2 linked regions of the Arabidopsis thaliana genome follow. The protein of the gene in region 2 interacts with the protein of the main gene of each other region in a pairwise test. Each region holds a gene or a part of one and is shown on either strand. Other genes may lie near its edges.

What was found. The genes of interacting proteins can lie anywhere in the genome.
Region 1: the proteins of CASP (region 2) and ATGRIP come close enough for resonance energy transfer, tested with the Arabidopsis thaliana proteins (one study listed by BioGRID).

What each region holds. Positions count from the first base shown.
Region 1 is NC_003076.8:26,408,641-26,412,397, reverse strand, and holds the start of ATGRIP (Golgi-localized GRIP domain-containing protein), read left to right. Parts: upstream 1-2,042; 5' UTR 2,043-2,316; intron 2,317-2,453; 5' UTR 2,454-2,509; coding exon 2,510-2,915; intron 2,916-3,004; coding exon 3,005-3,120; intron 3,121-3,297; coding exon 3,298-3,467; intron 3,468-3,578; coding exon 3,579-3,672; intron 3,673-3,757. Other genes in the region: AT5G66050 (Wound-responsive family protein), read left to right, coding at 17-65; STR16 (sulfurtransferase protein 16), read right to left, coding at 1,259-1,333, 1,405-1,529, 1,593-1,666, 1,753-1,841. UniProt on the Arabidopsis thaliana protein: Golgi matrix protein playing a role in tethering of vesicles to Golgi membranes and in maintaining the overall structure of the Golgi apparatus.
Region 2 is NC_003074.8:6,334,609-6,338,365, reverse strand, and holds the start of CASP (CCAAT-displacement protein alternatively spliced product), read right to left. Parts: upstream 1,675-3,757; 5' UTR 1,443-1,674; coding exon 1,340-1,442; intron 940-1,339; coding exon 829-939; intron 710-828; coding exon 531-709; intron 449-530; coding exon 299-448; intron 76-298; coding exon 1-75. Other genes in the region: AT3G18470 (PLAC8 family protein), read left to right, coding at 2,668-2,722, 2,833-2,904, 2,989-3,201, 3,305-3,366. UniProt on the Arabidopsis thaliana protein: May be involved in intra-Golgi transport.

The DNA of each region.
Region 1 (3,757 bases), on a different chromosome or scaffold from region 2:
CTTGTTTTGGTTGCAGCTCTGTTGTATATAATAAGGGTGTAGAAACTCCTGAGAGCTATGAGTAGTGAAAGAATAGGAGCTAAGAAAGGAAATGGATGTAGATATAATGTGGTGGATTTCAAGGGTATGGAGAGAGAAATATAAGAAGCTCATAGATTGATGGTACCGCATGTACCTGAGAGGAAGCTCTTAGATTGATGGGATCGCAGGATGTATTCAAAGTAAATGAAAGATGTATGAATAACCTGAGGGAATGTGTAAATGTAAATGGAAGAAGACTAAATGAAATGCATTTCTTTAAGTGTGTATAGTATTTTTATTGAATTGGCGATAAGAAGATTATTTAGGAGAAAGAAACTGAGGGCAGAAGCAGACAAAACGAAAGAGGGACGGTTACATACAGTGGGAAAGAAGAGATGTGGATTGTTGTGCCTTCATAAATGTCTACTTGTGGAAGACTAAGCAGTAAGTTAAAAGAAACGTGAATGATTTCCCCTGAAACGATGGTTACACAACACTCCCTTATTCACTTGGTTTTCGGGTTAAAGTTAGAAAAATAAAAGAGGTGGCCCAGCTTTGGTGCATTGAGAGTAGCAGAGTTATTAAATGCTTCGCAGAATTGCAGTTGCACATTCACTCCCTTCTTCTTCTTAATCTCCTTACAGTTACAGACATTCTCTCACTTGCGTTCTTGTTTCTTTTACAAAACAGATACACTATGTTTCCGAGAGAGTCCCTCTGATATTGGCCTGGTTCACTCAGATTCTCTTTTACTAACTCATCTGATTGAGCCGTGTCAATATCTCAGTCCTCTCTCGTCGCTTCTCTCGTATTTTGAAGTTTGCCTCGTTAGGTCACACCACTTGTTTTGTACACACGATCGAGTTGTTGATATGGTGTTGTTGTCTTTGTGTACTCATCGATCACTCAATATATACACATATATTGTCTGTTGCCAAGAACAGATGGACCTTTAAGGTAACAATCTTGTAGATATAATCGTTGATCGGATGCTCCTTTCTCCTTTCTAATTGATTTTTTTTTTAAACTATATATATAGAGATTTCGATGCAATCAACACACACTCGTATTTTTATATATTTTAAAAAGATGCGATGAGCCCCTCCCTCCAAGCTATCACATCAGACAGCAAAGAGAAAGGAGGGTCATTTATTGATGATTACATGCGGAAAGGATGCATTATTGAAGAAGAAGGAGACGAAGAGATAAGGAAAGATGTTTGGTGAATGGTGAGTCATCAAGCCTTTGTAGGAAGGCCATTCTTGGCCCAGGCACTATAGCCACCGACGATATCTTTGACTCCCGTGAAACCCTGCAAATTCGCAAATTATATATCACCAACAAAGTAAAAGTCAGAAAGAAGAGCTTTGTGGTGGAGCTTACTGCATGGAGAAGATCGGTGGTGGCTTTGATAGATCTACCACCGCTCTGGCAGCCAACAATGATGTTATCGGATTGTCCGAAATGGGAGGAGACTTGTTCCAGGAAGTCGGGGTTCTTTGACATCCCTGTTTCACAATCACAAAATTATATCCATCACTCAGTTATCAACTAACCAAATAAAAACATACCTGATGCTCCTCGATTCATGTAAGGCACGTTGATCGCCCCACAGGCATGTCCCTGGCTGAACTCTTCTGGAGTCCTATATTCATCATCCCCATTACATCAAGATCCTAATGATGCTATGTTGATGATTGAAATAGTCAAAAGAGAAAGGTGGGGCGGTACCTGACGTCTAGATAGCGGTGGCCGGCTAGAAGAAGGTCGTGGGCGACTGTTACCGACACCGATGATGGGACTCTGCTCTCCTCCGCCATTTTTTTCAATGGCTTATTATTATATTTGACTGGACAAAGACTTCAATAATTTCATTTTATATAAATTAGTTGGGAAAGTGATTATAATTGGGCCATATATTACAAATACATAATGGGCCTAAGTTGCTGCTTTATGGGCTAAGCTGTTTTCGGACTGTCCTTCATATTTTCATATTACCATTCCAAAACGGCATCATTTTAGCTAACCTCGTCTTGGGTTTACTTGATGAATTTTCAAAAGGTTTAAGGCTTCTGAATGCAATTATTCATTAGTAAAACACCCTTTACACAATTCTTACCATTCTTCGTCAGTCGATCAGATCAACGTTTTACCGTCTCACTGATCGACGGGAAAGAGACGACGACGTTTTTAACCTTTGGGTTGAGATCCGATCCAATATTTCGAAATCGTGATTCCTTGTTTGTGACCTCTCTCTCTCTGCCTCCACACTCTTCTCTAATCCCTCACCTCAAGGTAAGCTTCTTCTCTGGCACTGATTACATTCAAATCTCTCTTCTCCTTGCGTTGCTTTTGCTGGTTTATTCGAATTTCACGACTTGACTCCTTTCTCTTTTGATTGTTGATTCAAATCCCGATTTTGCGCTTACTAGTTGTCGTCGCTCTCTTGAGTGTCTGGGTTCATCTTTCTGACATCTGCTCTGCCAAGATGTCCGAAGACAAGGAATCTGATGTGGTTGGAGAAGAAGAGGAGAGCCATGTGATCAAAGAAGATAAAGAGTTAAATGATGCCTCCAACGAGACTCTGACAGAAAATGGTGATCAGCTACTCCAAATGATTGCTGAACTGAGATTAGAAAATGACTTTCTCAGATCCCAATTTGAGGGACTCAAGGATGAGGTAGCGCAAGGTAGGTCTCTCCAGAAAGCTGAGCAAGTGGAAGCGGACTCTGCTCAGCTGAAACAACTTCAAGAACAGGTCGCATCATTGAGCAGAGAAATTGATGTGGAAAAACAAACTCGAGTTGCAGCTGAGCAAGCTCTTGAGCATCTAAGGGAAGCATACTCTGAGGCTGATGCTAAATCCCAAGAATACTCCTCTAAGTTTTCCCAAGGTCAGAAGCCATCTTTTCTATTTGCTCATTCATTGACCGGAACCAGTGTTTGCCTTTTCTCAACTTGTGCTATTACATTGTTGGTGTAGTTGAACAGAAACTGGACCAGGAAATCAAAGAGCGCGACGAGAAATATGCCGACCTGGACGCCAAATTCACCAGGCTTCACAAAAGGGCTAAACAACGCATTCAAGAAATCCAAAAGGTGAATGTCTTTCTCTACATTTTATAATGCTTTCTGTTTTAGCCACTTTGAGGCTACTGTGAGTTTCAAAAACCATCTTATACTATTTCGGAATTTCTATGCTGCATTTTCAGACATATAGATTTCGCTGCTATGTGCTGTCTTAATCTCAGTGGTATATTATATTGCTATCTTCAGGAAAAAGATGATCTCGACGCCCGTTTCCGGGAAGTGAATGAAACAGCTGAACGAGCATCTTCTCAACACTCATCCATGCAACAAGAGCTGGAACGCACTAGGCAACAGGCGAATGAAGCACTTAAAGCAATGGATGCGGAGAGGCAACAACTAAGGAGTGCCAATAACAAGTAAATAATTCGAAGATAATTTTTACAGAAATTGTATAAAATGAATGTCGCCTTTCCCACTTCTCCAGCTACCTCTAAGAATTTGAGTACTGGAGTTTTCTCTTTACACAGGCTCAGGGATACTATCGAGGAACTACGTGGCTCATTGCAGCCTAAAGAAAATAAGATTGAGACATTGCAACAGTCACTTCTTGATAAGGACCAGGTTTGATCTCTTTCATTTTCTGTAATACTAGTCTGCAATATATAGAAAAATAGAGAGACAAAAGAGACAGAGAGAGAGAGAGAGA
Region 2 (3,757 bases):
CTCCATCGTTTTCTGGTTTTCCTCAGCCAGATTTCGTTGCTTGATCTCAACAACTTCTTTGATTTTTTCTTCCATCTGAATCCAAATATAACAACTCGATATCACTGCTAATCTTCGACAGTTATTCGTTACAAGATCACAAAATAGCATCTCTATATAAATCATGCTTATGGCTCAGTGTATAAATTTGCATTTGACCTCCTAGAATAGACTGAAAAATAATCAAGGAAGCTGTGCTTTACATTCATTTAGTTTTATCCCTATATCAATTAGAAGAAGAGGTTAAAAGCAAGCTGACCTGTTGCTCAAGCTGGCGGTTCCGTTCTTCAAGCCTTCTTATTGTGGCCTGCTGATTTTTAAGATGAGTCGCTTCTGTCCTAAACTCCTCAAGTTCAACTTTCATCTTTCGATTTTCAGATTCCACTTCAGATAATTTACGATCTTGCTCCTGGAATACAGCAATTAGTTGGTTCTCAGGCTAAAGGACTTTAGGTGTCTATTATGTTAACATTAGATAAGTGGATAATTACAGCAATAGAAGCAAGAGCAGGAAACGGATCAGGTGCTTCATAGAGTTTCTGATAGATATTTAGGAAAGCATTCTCCCCAAACTTGGCCCTCTTGGTAATATTATCTACTTCTTCTTGATATCCCTTGAGGAGGGAATTAAACATACTAAGTTTGTTCTCAGGCGAAGCTTTCTTGAAGTCTGTTGTTACCAAGATAAACCAAAGAATATGTTAACATCTCTTCGCTGGAACCTATCGAGGTCCCTCAGGAGAAAATGTTGAAGTGTTAAGCAATATAAAAGGTGAAACAAAAAAGTACCTCGTGTGCTCTCTGCAAGCTTTCGGCGATTCTTTTGGCTGTTTTCTTGATTTTCAGCTATTCTAAGCCCTTGCTCGTCAAGCAGGCTTTTCTCCTTCTCCAAATCAAATTCTGCAACAAGTAGTTTAAAGACAAGTAAATGGATCATTCGGGAAGAGCTTTCTTCTATGATGATGTCTATCAAAACAGCGAGCAACCACAGAACCAGTTCTCTAATTGAAACTGGTTTCGTATAACAAATACAAAAGCCGGAGAATCGAGATGAAACTAGTTATCAGTACTGAAAAATGTGTTGATAACTTTTAAAGCAATAAACTGAAATTTCTCAATCCGATCACATTAAACTACCAATGCAATCTCCCCGAACATTCAGTGAGAATCTCATTAAGTCTTACTACTTAAACGGAATCCTAACAAACGAATTTCTCCTAACTACAAAAACAAGCTCATCCTCAGCTTCACTACGAGTCGAAGAAAACGAATAGATAGCTAGACATAATCTGAAACAAACCTTTCCAGAAATTGGTGACGACAGGAATGGGAGAGGAAGAAGAAGAAGAAGAGGAAGGAGGAGGAGTTTTATCTCTTTCCGATCCATCTTGCGAAACCTCCATTGTACTCGTATTCGGATCCCGATCTCGTTTCTCCGAAGAACACAAGCAATACTTCGATACGAAGAAAGTTTCTGGGAAGTGATTTCTTCTTCGAATCCGACGAATGAATTAATGAGTTTTCTTATTGTTGTTTTGTTGAATTTTTACTACTCCGATCGGATCTTCTGAGTTCAGATACATTAGAGTTTAATGGTGGTAGAAGCGTAATTCTTATTTATTTTTTTGTTATGAGTGTGATCCTAAACAGGCTTCAAAAACGTAAGGTCCAAAAGATATAGAATAACCAATGGGCTATTCCTTGCGCCATTCATAGGCCCAGTATTGATTTAGTAGAATAAATTCATGTTTATTGCACATCTAAGTTGAAAACATTTGTCAAATTTTGTTATGACTATTATTAATTAATAAAATTTTAAGTTTAAATTCTAATTTATTTCACTGGTTAGAAAATTTTAAAAGTTTATTTTTTTTCCTTCAGTTCTTTTCTTTGTAATTTGTTAGTATTAAGTAATATTACTTTACTAATAAAACCAGAATATTACATTAGATATATTTTTCAAAATTTTATTTTAAAGTTTGCAAGTTTGATTCCTTATATAGAGGAATAATGTTTGAACATATTATCTCTTATCTACAAATAATTTTAATAGAAATTTTATGAATAGAAAAATGTTGAATTTAATATTTTAAAATTTAGCATAGCCTGTTTTATTTTACTTTCGCATTTTTAGGATGTATATTTCTTTTTTATTCATAATTTCTTTAATTTTCTTAGTCATTAAATTAAATTCTTTGTATCTTGTATATATGTGTGGATTAAACCAATCCCAAAAACGCGTTTACATATTACTTTTAAGTAGCTTAAAATCTCTCACAATCAGTAAAATCTCTCACCTTCCTTAAACAAAAATCAATTTTCAAAAAACCTTCCTCCTTTTAACAAAAAGTGCAACGTACTAGTTTTAAAAGTCTTTTACTCTTTTTTACAACTTTTATGATTTTTCCCAAAGTGCAATGTACTAAAAATTAAACATTTGTAGATCTCTCGAAGCGATCCACCATCAACCATATATATACCCACCCACCCTCCATTCTTAAAGCATCTAACAACAAAAATCTATCTTCAAAACCCTAATTAATTGATTTACGATCTCGCTTATCAAAAGATCGATCAACACAAAACTGGTTAAAACCTGACGCAAGATTTGGTTGAAGCTACTTTACAATGGAAAAGCAATGGACTTCTGGTCTTTTCAGCTGCATGGAAGACAGTGAAACTGGTAGAAATTCTATATAAATTTAATCAAGTTGTCCTTTAATCTTTATACATATATAGATCTATTGTCAGGATTGTATAATGATTTGTTCCTTTTGGTTTGTGCTGGATAAGCTTGCCTCACATGTTTCTGCCCATGCGTCACTTTCGGACGGATCGCGGACATTTCCGACGAAGGAAGGACCGGTAAGCCATACATTCACATATGTCATATCTAAACAATGTGTGTGTGTGTGAATTCACGTAACGTCGTATATATAATGTACGTAGGTTGTGGGAGATGTGGGGTATTTTACGGGCTAATATGTTGTGTGGTCGGCTTACCTTGCTTGTTCTCATGCACTTACCGGACCAAGATCCGAAGCAAATTCGGGTTACCGGAGTCTCCAACTTCGGATTGCGTCACTCACTTCTTTTGTGAATGTTGTGCTCTTTGCCAAGAACACCGTGAACTCAAAACCCGTGGTCTTGACCCCTCTATTGGTAAATTGCATTGTTTTGTGGACTCACTTTCTATTGAAATAATTAGTGTCTTTCATACGTTTGATTAATTATTTGATGTAACTTTATTATTTTTATGTGATAGGGTGGAGTGGAAATATGCAACGGACGATGGCTCCTCCTATGAGTCAGCAGATGATGGGTTGATTAAGAAGATTTCTGATTTGCAATATGATTTGAATTAAATAAGTGGTTCACGAAAACAGCACTTTTAAGTGTAGTTTTATATTGAGCTAGCATATTATTTTAAATTCTTTTTCAGATTTTATCAATATTGTTTATTTTGATATGTGAAAATAAAAGAATTGGAAGATCGTATTTTTTCATCCAAGAGGGCTTATTTTTTCCCTTATTCGATATATTTGGTGTCTGGCTTTGGTACAAAAATAATCTGTACCTAAAAACGTCAACTAATTGCACAAGTCAAGGTCATTCGAGTTCTGAGTTTTGACCAAGCAAATTAAACAATACCCATTAGTGCATAAATCATGTTTACCATTATCATTTATCATTACATCAATAATTTTCAAAACTTAGT